Solanum lycopersicum: one gene and its partners. The protein of the gene in region 1 interacts with the protein of each later gene in a pairwise test. Links are inferred from orthologs where the notes say so. Each region holds a gene or a part of one and is shown in the gene's direction. Other genes may lie near its edges. The genes, in order: protein LSD1, iron-regulated transporter 2 precursor and ethylene-responsive transcription factor 12.

Region 1 (6,089 bases):
TTTTTCATTTTATACTCAACTATAATTGAGCCGAGAAAGAAAGACATAAAATATATTCAACGAATGCAATTTATGTGTAAGTTTCAATCTCTTATTTATCGTTGAAATAACTTTATACCCATTCCGTTAAGAAAGTCATCAAACGCATTCAACGAATGCGATTTATGTGTAAGTTTAAGTTTTTTCTTATTTATTGTTGAAATTACGTTATTACCCTTTTTGTCTAATATTATTTGTCCAATATTTTTGAAACATATTTATTTCTTTGATTTTATACTTTTATTATACCGATAAAAATATTTTTCATCTTAGACTCAACACTAAATGAGTTTAAAAAAAGGACATAAAACGCATTCAACGAATGCGATGAATGCGATTTATGTGTAAGTTTCAATCTCTTTTCATTTATCATTGAAATTATGTTATTACCTCTTCTGTTAAGAAAGGCATAAAACACATTCAAAAAATGCAAAATATGTGTAAGTTTTAGTCTCTTCCCATTTATTATTGAAATTATGTTATTACCCCTTCAGTTTAATACTTTTTGTCCAAAATTTTTTAAATATATTTATTTCTTTTATTTAATACTTTCATTATATCAAGAAAAGATAATTATTTTTTTCATTTTATACTTAACATTAATTGAGTTGAGAAATAAAAACATAAGACGCTTTCAACGAATGTAATATATGTGTAAATTTAAGTCTATTTTCATTTATTATTGAAATTACGTTATTATTCATTGCATTTAATTTTAATTTGTTTAACATTTTATATTTATATATATATCGGGGGCGTAGCTACCCTTTGGTGGACACTCTTTGTTAGAAAATTAAGCCGTATTAATAAGTAAAATAACAATTTAAATGGTTAAATAATATATTTTAGACACCCTTAAAAAACAATAAAAATTTCTAGCTTAGTGATTTTAATTGTTCAACTCTTACTAAGTTATTTTCAAGTTGCGGTGTGCAGATTCGATTCCCGTTATTTGACTTTTATTTTTTCTTTTCATTAAACACTTTTATAAAGTTTGAAAATAAGTATTTAATTTAAATTTAATAAGCAAAATCTATTTTTTTTCTTTTCATTGAAAATTTAAATAAAATTTAAAAGAAATTATTTAATTTAAAGTTAATAAGCAAATTTTATTTATTTATTTCATAATGCTACTAAAAGTGAAAATACTTTATATAAATTCTCTTTTAATATAACTCATTTGATTCTATTTTTTATTTTTCATTTCTCGTTGTTGGTCATCAGAGGTTTGTGAAATCTTGGAGTATAAAAGTGATTTTACTCTAAACTAAAATATCTTTTTTTTTGTTCGTTCACTCTTATGAGATAGATAAACGTAAACATTAAAGCTAAATTAGTATGTACTTTGATTTCAAAAATTTTGGTATATTTTAATTTTAAAAAATAATAATTAATATTTTGTAGTTTGATTTACAAAATTTAAAGACACTCATTTTTTAAATTATTTTTACGAGCTATAAAATTTTTAAATATCCTTCATAAAATTTTTAGCTAAGCTATTAATATATATATATTTATAATGTAATTTTACGACAAAAAATATCCAGTGTGACTGTAGACGAGGTACATATTTAAATGATAAATGAATTCTAGAATCAACTATTAAGAATTCTTATGGGATGACTAGAATACATATGATTAATCTTTAATAGAAAATTTTATGACAAATCTTGTGATTAAAATAATCTATCGTCATAATTTTTTTCTCTGTTGACAAAATCTCATCACTCGGTTCTATCTCTCTTTAATTTTTTAAATATTTATTTTTACGTAGAAATCTTTGATGTCAACAAAAGGAAAAATTATTAGAAAATATAAGTTAACGCGTTTGGATAAAATTTGACAAATAAATTTCAAAATTTACAGGAATACTCTCTGTTCCTTATTCAAAAGCCTTCTTCTTATTTAAAAAAAAAAAATAATAACTGTATTTTTAATTAATATTTATATTCTCTCATTTCAATTCATTTATTTTATTTTTATTTTAACACAATTTTTTTAAAAAATAACATTATTTTTTTCGAATCTCATTTCAATCTAATGCAGCGTAGCAATAGCAAAGTAAAAAACTTTGACTAGCTATGAACAAATATTCTTTTAAATTATGTGAATTGCGTATAAAATTAAATATGTAATTTTAATAGATAATATATTTAACTTCTATACATCACATATTAATTTCGGTAAAACATATATACGCATTATACCTTATCTAAAAATAGCTTCAGTTATAATTTTGCAATTTTAAATATATCATATAAAATTATAATTAAAAAATTATTTTATAAAAAATAAAATAAAATAAATAAATTGAAAGCGGAAGAATTTATTTTATTTTATTTTATTCGTAGACAGGTCAAAAGACATTTATTCCCAATATTTAACAAGAAGAAAAAAGGAGATGTAAGAAAAATATCCAAAAACCAATCTTTTGAAATCTTGAATTTACCCAATTTCTGTCGGAATTTTCGCTCAGATTTCCATTTGAATTCCAACCCATTTTCAGATAATCTCAAGTACCCTTCACTGTATATTTTTTTTTTTTCGTGTGTGGGGATATATATATTATAATAGAGGGGTACCCTATCTTCCAGATTTGTTCATTGACTGGTAAGAAGATTGCTTTTTTTTTCTTTATCCAATTTCTTGGGGGGTTTTCCCTTTTAATTTGGTAGGCTAAACATGATATTTTTTTTTACTTTTCAATCATGTTTGTGATGGGTGTAATTGATTGTGGATAAATTTTGGTTGGTGGGTAGGAAGAATTTGGGGCAAGGGCTCTCGTTTTGGTTAGCTCTAGAAATTACCTAGCTTTTTCTTCCTCTGCTGAGATTTGAACCTGGTTGATGAGCCACACTCATGGTTATGGGTGTTTGATTAAACAATTTTTTTTGTAAGATTTGTGTTTGACCCGTCTTAGCATGAAAAACTTGATATAGGAATTTTTCTTGTGTGTATAATCTGTGAATCCTGAGAAAAAAGATTGTAGCTTCAACCATTGGATGAATAATTATGAAAGGAACTTTCTTGAAGAAAAGTATTTATTGTTCTCTTTCATTTTGTCAAGCAGGAAGAATAAATTTACCTCACAGATCGGCAGAAATTAGCTCTTCTACCTCAGACGACTCGATATTCAAACAGATTGAAAGGTGAAACCTTTTTGTCTCAACAGAGATTGTTAAGACGAAGTTCATTGTTTCATGATGGACTTTTAGATTTATTACAATCTTGAGAACTGTAACTCAAAGATCATTTTGCAATTTAGTTTGTGAGCTTGCCATTACTATTTGGTTAATGTTTTTTGTTCGACAGATATGCAGAGTCAGTTGATGTGCAGTGGGTGCAGGACAATGCTTCTTTATCCCAGAGGAGCTTCTAATGTCTGCTGTGCAGTGTGCAATGCACTCACCCCTGTCCCACCACCTGGTATCTGTGCTTTTCTTGATTCTGATGTGGTTATAAGTACTTTTTTTTTTCTTTCAAATTTGTGTGGCTGATTTTTGGATTATGGCCCCCTTCCATGTTGATTACAAGTGTTGTTGCTAGAAGATTGTTGTTAGGAAAGAAAATTAGTGCACTTAAAAACATTTTGAGTATCTAATAGTAACGCTATGCTTGATGCTGACATGGTAAATAAAGCCATAAAGTGGGCTAGGTTTGGGGAGGCTTGGTGTATAGATCTGTTTGGATTGAGATGTAGTATTGTTTGTTGTTTTGCCTTGACATGGATTGAAGCGTAGTTGTTATTGTGTTCTGTTACTCGAAGGTGTTGCTTAAATTTTGATCTTTCTCAGGAATGGAAATGGCTCAATTGATATGTGGAGGCTGTCGTACATTACTTATGCATCCACGTGGAGCGAACAGTGTGAGATGCTCCTGCTGTCATACGGTGAACCTTGTCCCAGGTACAGTTTATAACATCCCTTCCCTTGATTTCGGAGACTAATGTTTGTCTGGTTATGAAAATCTAGTGTCTCTTTGCTGGAATGAAATGTTTCCTTCATTTGAACAGAATATGAATCTAACTTTTGATATTATCCACTTAAGCTTGACCTTCGGTTGTTTTCATTTATCATATGAGATCTTTTTCCTACATATTCATCAAAAGTTTATCATATGAGATCTCAAATTGAGATACCAGCATTTTTATTCTTGTATTACATCAGAAAAATCTGTTGGAAGAGTAACATTACTTTGATGATCTAACTATGTAATACATAAGTGAACATTTCGGTATGGTTGTGTTTTTAGTTGAACTATGTTATGACTTATGAGTTTAGAGTGTGGTCCCAGCTGAAATTCACAACTTTCGAGCACTTCAAGCTTTTGCCTGGGGGAAGGGAGCTGTATAAATTTATGTCTTTGTCAGACTTGGTGGAATATGGTTATGGGATCACCAAAAAGCTTCATTATTGTATGTTTGTGTTATGTTTTTTCCTATTGATGCTCAATTTATCAGAAGTTTTGCCTGACAGATAGGTGTAAGTCCAATTGATTTCTCTTGAGTGTGGTTATTCCTCGAAAATAATAACCTGATCTGGTGCTCTTTGTAAACTAGTAGCCAGTCACATAAGATATAGATATCTGCTGTTTAATCTTCTTATCAGCTTTACTTTTTGGTCATATCTGCTTCATTTTGCAGCACATCTGTAATTTGCAAACAGAACTTAGTTATGACTGGTAATTGGTGGATTTAACTTGGTGTATACATTTTTCTCCAAGCACATGTTCTTAAATGTCATTGACTAGTCTGTTCCTATGTGTCTTTTTTGGTTTTAAGAAGATATTACTGGAATCTATGCATGAGTAACCAGAGTGGGTGTATATTGAATTGTTCTCTTTCCTTTCCAATCTCAAAAGTTTTCTTTCCCCCTAGGTCTTCTATCTTGTTTATAGTGCTGGGAATATATTTTTTCATTCTTCCCTTGGTCAGAAGCTACATTATTTGAAGTTGGATGGTGGTCCTGAAGGCAACAACATTTGTAGGTTGACCATTCCAAGAAGTAAGAAATGTAGTGTCACAATGCTGATTGGGCACTAATGTTATGTGCAAAATCAGGTGCCTTTTACTAGAGCTAAGCGGTAAAGACAGATGTTTAAGATGAGATAGTAACTCATTGAATTTTAAGGGGACTATACCTGAATCATTTGCATGTTCTATCTTTCACTAGAATTTAATAGGGTAAAGAGCTACATGAATTGTTTGTGTTTGAGGATTTGTACATTCGATAGAGCTTAGGTTTCTTGTTACCTGGATGACATATAATTGTGCTGTCGATCTTCAGGTCCAAACCAGTTTGCTCATGTCTACTGCGGGAACTGCCGTATGATGCTGATGTATCCATGTGGAGCTCCATCGGTTAAATGTGCAGTATGCCATTATATTACCAATGTTAATGTGAGTATGATGATTCATTTTTCTTTTTGATCTTTGGTAAAAATTTTAGCTGATGCTTGGTCCATATAGTTAAAGAAGTAAAATAACAAAGAGGAATGAATTTTAAGATTGTGCTTTTGGTAATGAGAATTCTATTTTGTGCGTAATATAATATTTACTTACTTTGTTAGGATCAGAGAATAGCCAACTACCATATTGTCTTAGTTTAATTACAATTTAAAGTGAGAATATATATCAACTTGACTGTAAATAAGTGATAAAATGAGTGTATGAAAGACTTGTCTTGCATGCATTGGTTGGTGTAAACACCAGTGCGGGTAAGTTTTTTTATTTTGTTGCTCAAGGGTGATGCAAATCAATCAAAATGACAATGTTGAGCCTTTTATGTAAATAGTAAGATTTATGATATTAGAATGATCGGAATTGAAGAAGATAAGAAGGGAATAATTAGCACAGTGAACATGTTGTTGTTGATGCTTCAAAATAGCCAATTCCCGAGTCATTGTTACTCATGGAGAATTGTTGGGTTTGTCTCTGTTTAAGCTGCTCTTCTCTGGTTCTTCCTTCTCCACTTAATAGTCTGAACCTATAGGAATCAGTAGATTATAGCGATTAGCCTTGCTTCATATCATGGATTGTAAAGCAAGTAAAT
Region 2 (6,183 bases), about 380 kb from region 1:
CTTATAATCTATTATTATTAAAAATGAGACCCCTTAAATTTTGAGGACTAAGATGAATGTCCTTTTTTTAACACTATCGAGCCACCCCTGAATAGAGCTATTCAAAACTTTTCTAACTAAAGTAATTCCTTATATAAGTTTCATAAGTAACTATCAGAGAAATTGGATCATACATATAAATAGAGTTATGAAAAGGAATCGGTCCAGACCCGATTGACTCAAGCTTCGCGGGTCAAGGATACTATATACGCGAGATATATGTATATAATGTGATGCATTTCAGATATGCGAGCCTGATGACATGGAAGCGAAAGCGCGTTATTTGTTGATGTATCCTACATACATACATATATCTAGATGTACCTAAATTTGACATGGATAGAAAGTGTCTAAAACAAGTTAACCTAATTTTAATTTCATGTATCATGATATACATATATCTAGATGTACCTAAATTTGATACGATTCGTAATATTACAACATATTGTACACTTAAATAATTAGTTCATATACTAGTGAGATTGCTATAAGTTACACCCTAAATAAATAGTTTTAGCCCATGGCTGACCCTGAGCCGACCCCAATCAGACCTTAATGACCAATGACTTATATTGGTCGGGCTTATTAGCGCTAATTTTGAAGGGCAAAGGACATAAATCACATACGTTTATGGAAAAATTACAATTTATCCCTTATAAGTTTATAATTACAGAAATTCCTCAAACTAATACAATAATATAAGCGCTGATACATTAAACTGATGCGCGAAATACATTAATTGTTAAGTAAGATACATAATATTTTATACAAGATACACTAATCTGGTGTACATTTTATACATGATACACTAATCTGATGCACGAGATACATTAATATGATGCTTGAGATACATTAATCTGATATTCAAAAATGATAGATTTTTGGAGATTTGTAAAATTAATAGGAAATAGTGGTAATAAGAGAATTTAAATGTGGAACTTCTGTTATTTTCCCAATTTCAAATGAGCTTGAAAATTTTTATCCTAACCCTGCTCCAATAATGGCTGATCCGATTCCATGCGCTAAACTCATTTTGACGGCTCTACATATAATACTATTTTAGTGAATAATATTTTTTTTGTTGATAGACATTCTCTATTTTATTGACAGAAAACTTTATTGTACCTAAACGTACGAAATATATAACTAATGCATCTAATTTAGAATATATCTCAAAGATGGCTTCTCATTATTCGTTTCTTTCTATTTAATTTGAGAGATGATGTCAATACAAGTTTTTTAAAAAGTTTTTTTCTGTTATACCAAAGTATTTTCTTACTAAGAAACAAATTTATGTCGACTTTGTTTTTAAATATCACCAATGATTAGCTAATTTTGAACAGTACACCTGCATTTAGAGAATAACTCCTTTTTTTTTTTTATTAATTATGGCTAAGTAAGCGTTTTATGATAAAGTAGTTAATTCTATAGATCATCTCCGTACGGGTGATGAAGGGAGAGGTAATTTTGGGGTTAATGTGTGCACTTGAAAGAAGAAGTTAAAAAAATATATATAGTAATAATTTAATTTTTGTCCCCATAATAGTTGAAAAAATCGAAAAAAAAAACAATTCCATTTTGTTAGCTTGAAAAGACTTTCTTGTTATGTTTATTTCCAATTATAGATATTCATCTTTCCTAAATTTACGTGAAACGATTAAATTTAAGAGTAAAATAATTTAATTTTTAATTATAAATTCGAACATGAAATTCCTAAGATTTTTCTGAATGAAAATCTACATATTTAAAGATCACGTGAAAAATACTACACATCACAATAATTGATAAGATATATAAAAATTATATGAATAATTTATTGTCAAACAAATACTTATTTAAATACGAAACGAAATTAAATCACAAAATTAATAATTACTCCTTCATCTCTCAAAAAATAAACTAAAATAGTACGTTCTAGTTTTTCAAAAGTCTCACAGCTGGCTTAGATTATGGAAGTACTATTATGATACTGTTTAAATTAACAGATTTTTGGATCTTAATTTATCATATATAAATTCCTTAAAATTCTCCAACGTATGTATTCCTTCGTTACCCTTTTTTTTTTTTGAAAAATAAAACATGAAATGTTATATTTTGTAAATTCCACGTATAGGATAAGAAGAAGTGGAAAATCCACTTAAAACTCGTTTGAAACACGTGCCTTTGTAATGCATCAAGCAAAAAAAATTAAATCATTAATCAAAACCACATTGTTTAGCGGGTATACACACATGCCTGCCCTTATATGTTAAAAAAAAGTAGCCATTTGTAGGTACATGTATTTTTTTTAAATTCAGGAGTTATAATCTCTCTGCTTCGAGTGACTACTTTATACGCCTTTGATAAATTCTCCACCATGTAATAACTCTTCGAATCACATAGGGGAATATTTTTTTTAAAAAGAAATTCTATCACTCTATAGCTGTTGGTACATGATATACATAGAAAATCATTCAATGTCATATTCTTCTTATTTAATATCATGATTTGCTTCCAACTAATTAATTTAAACGAATTGCTTTTTTATCTATCATAGCTTAATATCTAAGTGTGTATATATATCATACCTCTCATGTATCATAACCCAAAGCAAACAAAAAAACACATTCCTACTCAAAATTCAAAAACCTCTACATTTGCACAATGAGTGATTATAATTTCAAGCACATCGCCATCATCTTTATTCTCATATCAATTTTCATCCCTCGAGTTTTATCAGTAGTAGAAGATTGTGGAGCGCAAGAAGATAACTCATGTGTCAACAAATCCAAAGCGTTACCCTTAAAAATCATAGCCATAGTCTCCATCCTTATCACTAGTATGATCGGAGTTTGTCTTCCACTAGTCACACGTTCTATCCCGGCCCTAAGCCCGGAAAGAAACCTTTTTGTGATAGTCAAGGCATTTGCTGCCGGAATTATATTGGCTACGGGGTTTATGCACGTGCTTCCTGACTCATTCGACATGTTGTCATCGAGTTGCCTTAAGGAGAATCCATGGCACAAATTCCCCTTCACTGGATTTGTTGCTATGTTGTCCGCTATAGTTACAATGGCTATTGACTCTATAGCAACTAGTATGTATAGCAAAAAACATAGAGCTGGTTTGGTTAATCCAGAAACTGGTGGTGCTGATCAAGAAATGGGTGCAGTAAATGGTGGACATTCACATCATCATCATGGATCACTTTCCACTAAAGACGGAGTTGAAGGCACTAAATTACTACGATATAGAGTCATCGCTATGGTTAGTTTTATTCATCTTTTATTAATTTGGTCATTGTCCTTTACTAGGACACTAATCAGGTAGCATAAATGATAATTAATGGAATTGATTGATAGCAGCAAAGTAATTCGTTTTAATTGATTAGTGGGAAGCAAATCACAATATTAAATAAGAAAATAAAAATCGAAATTACACTTGATGAAGCCTAATGGCACTTGTCAGTACAACTTTAATGTGATATATTTCTTACCAAAATTGGAGAGATCTTTTTTCCTACTTTAATTATAGCTAAAACTTTTGTTAAATTGATTTAGTGTACATATTAAATTTTAAATAAAACAACTGTCCATCTAAATATGTACTTGAGAAAATATAATAGATCGAGAGGAGCCAAATCCACGTATTACTGCTAGTCTACTACTTACTACAAGAAGTTAAAATTTGTGTATATAATTAGTGTATATAAGATAGCTGTTTTTTCAAAAGTATATAAGATAGCTGAAATAGAAGCTTTTTCCTCCTTAAATCAGTTAGAATTTCGTATTATAAAACATGAATTACTTATCCTATTCCTACCTAATTAGCTAATTGATTCAATCAAAATATATCATTTTCTTTTTAGTAATGAGTAAAGATCGTGGTGAGTTGTCTTGATATATTGATCCGTACAATAAATAATATATTGTATGCATGCATTATTTTATTGAAACGAAACAATTCAATAAGGTGAAAGTCAACAACAATCTCTATTATTTGTGTACTTTAAATTTGTCCTATCATAGTCGATTTGTTTATGTATTACTACTAATAAATCCTAATATATCCACATCGTTTTGTCCCTTTGACTAAGTTTTTTTTTTTTTATGGCTAATCAATCGGTTCATCCATATTGATTTGAACTTAATTAAAAATCAACACAGGCCGACTAATTAAATAGCCTTAATTCTAACTCATTTATTCTAAATCATATATTGAAATCATCATAAAAATGTAATGTTTTTGCAGGTGTTAGAGCTGGGAATCATAGTTCACTCAATAGTAATAGGAATTTCACTTGGAGCTTCAAACAATACATGTACAATTAAAGGATTAGTTGCTGCACTTTGCTTTCATCAAATGTTTGAAGGAATGGGACTTGGTGGTTGCATTCTCCAGGCAAGTTTTCATTTTTTTCCGAATAAATAGTACCTATCATTAATTAAATATATATTACTATTATAGTAACTTTATTTTTTTTCATGCAGGCTGAGTACAAGTTTTTGAAGAAGACACTAATGGCATTTTTCTTCGCAGTAACAACTCCATTTGGTATAGCACTTGGTATGGCATTGTCAACTACTTATGAGGAAACTAGCCCACGGGCGTTAATAACTGTTGGATTACTGAATGCATCATCTGCTGGGCTTTTGATTTATATGGCTTTGGTTGATCTTCTTGCTGCTGATTTTATGGGTGACAAATTACAAGGCAGTGTCAAACTACAAATTAAGTCTTACATGGCTGTTCTTTTAGGTGCTGGTGGAATGTCTCTCATGGCCAAATGGGCCTAGCTTTGTTTTTTCATATGAGTCTGTGAAATACCTCCTTTATTGAATTGCAAAATTGTAATCGTGTGTACTTTTCAATTTCGTGGTTAAATTTGAACTGCTATGTATTTCCCTCACTTTAGTATTGTTACTTATGTTATAAAATAACTAGCTAACAAACTAATATTACTAAACTAAATTAAAAATAAGAACAGGTAAAGAGAGAGTATAATAATACGCCATATTGCAAACTTTTCTAATCTCTTCCTATGCGAAGAAAATATGTTATTTATAATCAATAGAAAAATATAAACTAAATACTTGATCATTGATAAGTTATTCATTTAGTCAAATAATTACACCTCAAATATAGATAATCTCACATGTCATTATATTAATAAAGTAAATGACGACTCTTAAAGAATGATCCACGTGTCATTTATTTAGTTTTACAATAACTTAATTGTTTTCAAGCTGTTTATGTGGAGTTTTATAATAGTCAAAGTCAATGGTTTATAATGGATATCCATTTGTAATCTACCAGCGGTATATTAGTATTTCGCCTGAATAAATTTAATTATAGTAGCACTCTTCTTTCAAAATGGAGTACTTCTTTTGCTCACTATTCTTTTGGAATGCATTTGGAATGGTTCCAAAAAAATTTAAGTGACGGTTCTGATACACTTTATTTTGTTGGTTTTTTTTTTTAGTATTGAGCTTACCTAATTAGTTCGAGGATACATTTTCGTTAATTTTTGCTATCACATTGTTGATCTTTTTCAATCTTTTTTGATACATGTAAGTTTAGATTTTTAATGTATCTAGTTGATTTTGAGTTTCTTTAACTAATGTAATGCTTTCGTTTCAACATCATGATACATTATAATTTTATCATATATAGTGTATTGTGTTCAAATATTAATTTTGATACATAACCTTAATTAGTATTGATACTTGATATCGTGTATCAACCTTTACATTTACCAATTTCTGAAACATCAATGTACTAGATAACTTGAATGTTGATTCATTCATGTATATGTTTGATACCTCAGTTGTAGTTAGTTGTTGATTCATTCAAGTTGTATTAGTACAATTTGTAGACAAGTTTGATTTAAAATTTGTGATTTTTTTGAAATAATCTGATACATACCTTCACTTTTGAACATTTTGTTGAGTACAAAGTATCTTCCGGCGGCTATTGACTAGACATTGCTTAAAAGATGAGTGATTATTTGAATTCGAGGGTGAGCTACTTCTTAGTGGCTGTCTTGAGTTCTCTTTTTGTACAGTCCATTCTACTCGGACTTAGACTAGTTCTTTAGATGATGAATCTTGTTAGAGTTTTGATACATTGACTTTCACGTTCTAGGGGTTGTATTTCCGCATTCGT
Region 3 (4,843 bases), about 3.1 Mb from region 1:
TTAAAACAATATTGATTAATTTTGATCAGTTTTTCTATTGTAAATGTCTTTAATTGTGTTTGAATTGTAATAATTTTGATTGAAGGAATGAAGACAAATCATGCTAGTCTCATCTGTTTTCTAATGTGTTCAAATAACTTTTAAGTAAAACACAATTATTCTCAAATATTTTCACCATCAATTAGACTAATGATTCGTGGAACAACATATGTACCCTCTATCAATATCCTTCAAAAATCTGGTTCCACATCAGACAACGGTGTTTGTTTAAACGGAACAAATTATGGGTTCAATGATTCAATAAGAAAATGACGTGATTGAGGTATTTGAGGGGGGAAAACCCAACAATTTGGCCTATTATTATTATTATTATTAATAATAATGATAAAATTATTAATATAAAAAAATGAAAAGATTTAAAATACGCAATTTAATTAGTAAAATGTAACAAATAATATACCTAGTCAAACACTATAATAAGTATCAATTAATATGTTTTAATTTTTTAAAAATAAAGTGCAGCTGCTCCGCTAAAATAGTTTCTGTCTTCAAAATATGTTAGTTTCAATAGTAACTTCAATTGTAGACATAATTTTTTCTAGAATCGAATCAACCCACGTGATTTTGATGCAAGTAAATTATACGTTCGTCAATTTATCATCAGTGGAATTAAACTATAGGCTAAAAGTTGGATTTTAAAAAATATTATCCCCTGTTGTATTTTGACTTTAGGCTATTTCTTAATCTTTATCAATACTAAGAAAGAGATTTTTTAGAAACGTGGGTGGAAATGAAAGATTAATTGAATCCACCATAATTAGAACAAACTTGCAAATTCTTCAAACGACTTCACTAGTGACTTAAAAACCAAAAATAAAATTAAAAAATATTTATTAATTTAAATTATCATATTTTTAATTAAAAGATTTATTTTGTAAATAAGAAAAGTTATATTTTATATAGACATAATACATAAACATGAATCTTAACTTGACTCGGTTGAAAACTATGACATTTAATTTTGGGTGTGCACAAGTAAACACTTAAATTTATATAAAATTAAGCAAATGAACACATTTGTTCTACATAATACTTTACATGGCAATTTATTGTCCTACATGACGTTCTAGATGTATTGTGCCATGTAAACATTTGTATCTACTTATTTTATTTTATACAAATTTAAATATCTATTTGTGCATATTCAACGTTGAAGGACATAAGTATTTACTAAAATCAAATTAAATAATTATGTTTATGTAATATGATTTTATATTATAAATCATAGTCTTAAATACAATATCTTTGTAAATTTTCCTTAAAAGTTGTCACCTGCCTTTGTGAAAAATCAGGAGTGTATATCTTATCAAAGAAATACTACTACTTCATCGAAGTTTGTAGCTTCTCATGGAAGCAATTTAGAAACAAGAGAGAAAGAAAATTTTCTCTTTTTAGGACCGACTTACCATTACCAAAAGTCTATATTTATCATTCCATCTATAGCATGACTATAGAATTTGTAAAATATAAGATATATAATTGTTTATTTGCAAAATAATTTATTGAAATCGCATATGTTTAACTATTACTTCACCTATTTTTAGTTTGATATGTCAAAACAATGGCGTATACCATGCTACCTAGTTTTTTTCTCTTTCGAAATAATACCCCTACTATATATGATTTTTCTTATTTATTTAAGTTTTGCTAAGTAAAATTAATTTTTATTCGCCCCTAAATTTGTAACTTACTACAACAATTAATGCTAATGATTTAACATATGTATTAGTATGAGTAAAGACCCTACTATCCTTCAAAATTCTTTTTATAGCTTTTTAGTATAATAGTGCAGAATATTTTTATAAATAAATATTTTTTGTATTATACATGTTATTTTTAATAGATCAAATCAAACGCATAAGAAAAAAATCTCTCTTTATATATAATTAATATAGACATTATTACTATATTTTATTTAACATTATTTTTATGTAACTTACTAACCGATTCTCCAAAAATAAGTATTAAAATACAGTACCATGAAATGATAAAAGTATTCGTTCATTTTTTAAGAGCCTGTTTATAATTTCGGAACATTTTCCTTCCGACCAAACACATGTTCACCTAAATATTTTGCCTATTTTAGGAGAGAGGTCGTGCCGTCCAACCGACGATTACGGGTGTCTGCGTGGGTCCCTTTTTTATTTTTACTACTGCTGCCCAAATATACTCTTTTTTAGCTCCCAAAACCCCACACAAACACAACACTCATACACTTTCTCTCTCTAAATCCCCCCCTCTCTCTCTCCTCCCCCATTTCCATGGCTTCCACTCGTGAGGGTCACTACAGAGGAGTGAGAAAGCGTCCCTGGGGCCGTTACGCCGCAGAGATTCGCGACCCGTGGAAGAAAACACGTGTCTGGTTAGGCACTTTCGACACTCCAGAAGAAGCGGCACTCGCTTACGACGGCGCCGCCCGTTCACTCCGCGGCGCTAAAGCAAAAACAAACTTCCCCCCTCCTCCGCCGCCGCCGCCGCAGCCTTCTTCCGCTCCTCTTACACTCGATCTCAACCTTCCATCTGATCACCGGTGGACTTCCCCCTCCGGACGTAGGCTCATGATTGGAGAGTTTCTACAAGTAGGTCCGCCGCCGGAACTTAACTTGCCGGTCACCGTCGCTGCGCCGGCGAAGGAAAACGATGTTGGAGCTGCAGCTATGTATTTTGGGATTGTGAGACGTGGGTTGCCTATTGACTTGAACGAACCGCCGCCGTTGTGGATGTGAGGAGGCGGCGGCGGATAATTAATGACTTAGTAAAATTACGTTTTTTGTTTTTTTTTTTTCATTTTTGTCATTCTCTCTATTTTCAAGCTTTTGGGAGAAAGGTAATTTCTATGAAGAAAAGTAGAAAAAAAAGAAGAAAATATATTAATGTTATTATTAGGAGGAAGCACATCATTATGTAAATACCCTTTTTATTTAAATATTAATCCAAATTCTCCATATTTTTGTACCACGCTCATCATAAAACTGAAGTACTTTGTCTGTACTTTTTAGTCTAATTTTTTTTTAAAAAAAACATTTTATACAGTAAATTAATGTATACGTCCAAAACGTACATTTGCGCAACAATTGTGTTCCTATATATATATTATTCAAATTTTTTTTGTGTGAATATAAATCGAGATGAATTTTCATAAATTATTAAATTTTGTAAATTATTTACTAACATTCACGATCCATTCTAGATTCGCACCTGTGCGATATGATTGCACGTGTGAAAATATACGTACATGTTTGACATATTAAATTAACTTTATTTGTTTGTTGTTCAATTGAGATGTGGTAGATTTTTGAGACATGATATTTAATTTCACCTTTTCAGGTGGCGCATGAAAGAGCATTACAATTAATTAGGCCAGTTATGTATAGAAAAAGGGTAAACGCAGAAAGTGACTTATTATTATTATTATTATAATAATAACTAACTTAGGTTGAAAAATCTTACATAGTATCAAAGGATTGTCCCTAAATAGTACAAATTTACTCAGCAAAAATAATTATTTTTGACCTAAATCTACTTTCAATATTAACTATAGCAGGCTGATAAGCATACATGCTTAGATTTTTTCTCTACTTCCCATTAATGTATAAGTTATAATTTTATTCATCTAATTACATTTACTTTCGAATGGGATCCATTTTGATTGTGATGAGTACGTTTTGGTAAGAGATTAACTTAATTAGTTTATTAATTATCCAAGACATGAAGTGCTAAATAGATTTTAATATGGTGGATGATTGACAGAAATTGGTTTTAATGGATAAAAAGTGGATGGGGTACAAAATCCAATCAACAAAAGGCAAACTTTTAAGTATATTTTGGTGAAAATCAGTGTAACTACTATTAGAGCTCGAACTTTATTTTTGGCCCAAAAAAAAAAAAAACTTTCGGTGCCACTTTTGAATTTTTTAAGAAATAAACTAAATTTATGAATTTATTTGATAATAAGTTCAATTCAATGGACACCAGCAACTAATTCTTCGATACCACTTTACATTTTTGTAAAAATTCAACGCTTTAGTCTTAGAAGATTGATGAATTCTTTTATTCGCAGAGCCATATGAAAGTAAGGGGATCCATTCAAACTTTTTAAAGTGTTTAATTTTTTAATATTTTAACCTTCTTAATATAAATTTCGGCTTTGCCATTATTTCTTAACATATTAGAACTAAGAAGTTGAAACTCAAAACTTCGTTTTGTATCCAACGTCCATGTTGATTTTGTAATGGAAAAATTAAAACTTACAATTATTCTAATCGACTTCAATTAATAATAAATTTCACTGTACGACAGAATGAAACTGCGAAGAAAGAATACTAACTTATTTATAACAAAATATAACTAAATAGTATGTACACCATTTAATATATATTTGTCTCGTATTTCTTGCTAAGGGGTCCATTATATTGAGAGAACGTACCAGGAAAAAATAGTAAGGTTATAAAATAAGTCATAAAATAGATTATAGTATAGAGGAATCTGATTTTTTGTTTTCGAGGGGAGGGGGGACCAACAAATTAATCCCCAGAAATTGGGGTTATTAATGGATGAGGTCTTTTTTTTGGCTTTATGAAATGGGGTGTACGTGGGGCTATTATATAATATGAAAATAAAGAAAAGCTTAAGACAGACATATAAAAATAGTGTAGTGAATTGTCTTATTAAAGCTTGATTTATTTTAACAATATTTAATTTTTTTTAAAGTATCTGTTGGTATTGGTGGGTCCAGTCTTTTGAAGTTCACTTCGACAAATTATCCATGTATAAAAATAAAATT

The links.
Region 2: the proteins of protein LSD1 (region 1) and iron-regulated transporter 2 precursor interact in binary tests that used the Arabidopsis thaliana proteins (3 or more experiments, as listed by UniProt). The link is inferred for Solanum lycopersicum from reciprocal best matches to the Arabidopsis thaliana genes LSD1 and ZIP10.
Region 3: the proteins of protein LSD1 (region 1) and ethylene-responsive transcription factor 12 interact in binary tests that used the Arabidopsis thaliana proteins (3 or more experiments, as listed by UniProt). The link is inferred for Solanum lycopersicum from reciprocal best matches to the Arabidopsis thaliana genes LSD1 and ERF12.

The regions. Positions count from the first base shown.
Region 1 is NC_090801.1:55,746,884-55,752,972, forward strand, and holds the start of protein LSD1, read left to right. Parts: upstream 1-2,231; 5' UTR 2,232-2,649; exon of another isoform or gene 2,650-2,932; intron 2,933-3,106; exon of another isoform or gene 3,107-3,109; 5' UTR 3,110-3,188; intron 3,189-3,351; 5' UTR 3,352-3,353; coding exon 3,354-3,465; intron 3,466-3,833; coding exon 3,834-3,944; intron 3,945-5,324; coding exon 5,325-5,437; intron 5,438-6,089.
Region 2 is NC_090801.1:55,363,893-55,370,075, forward strand, and holds iron-regulated transporter 2 precursor, read left to right. Parts: upstream 1-2,634; 5' UTR 2,635-2,682; coding exon 2,683-3,285; intron 3,286-4,269; coding exon 4,270-4,419; intron 4,420-4,508; coding exon 4,509-4,814; 3' UTR 4,815-4,926; downstream 4,927-6,183. UniProt on the Arabidopsis thaliana protein: Probably mediates zinc uptake from the rhizosphere.
Region 3 is NC_090801.1:58,882,412-58,887,254, reverse strand, and holds ethylene-responsive transcription factor 12, read left to right. Parts: upstream 1-2,071; 5' UTR 2,072-2,321; coding exon 2,322-2,786; 3' UTR 2,787-3,015; downstream 3,016-4,843.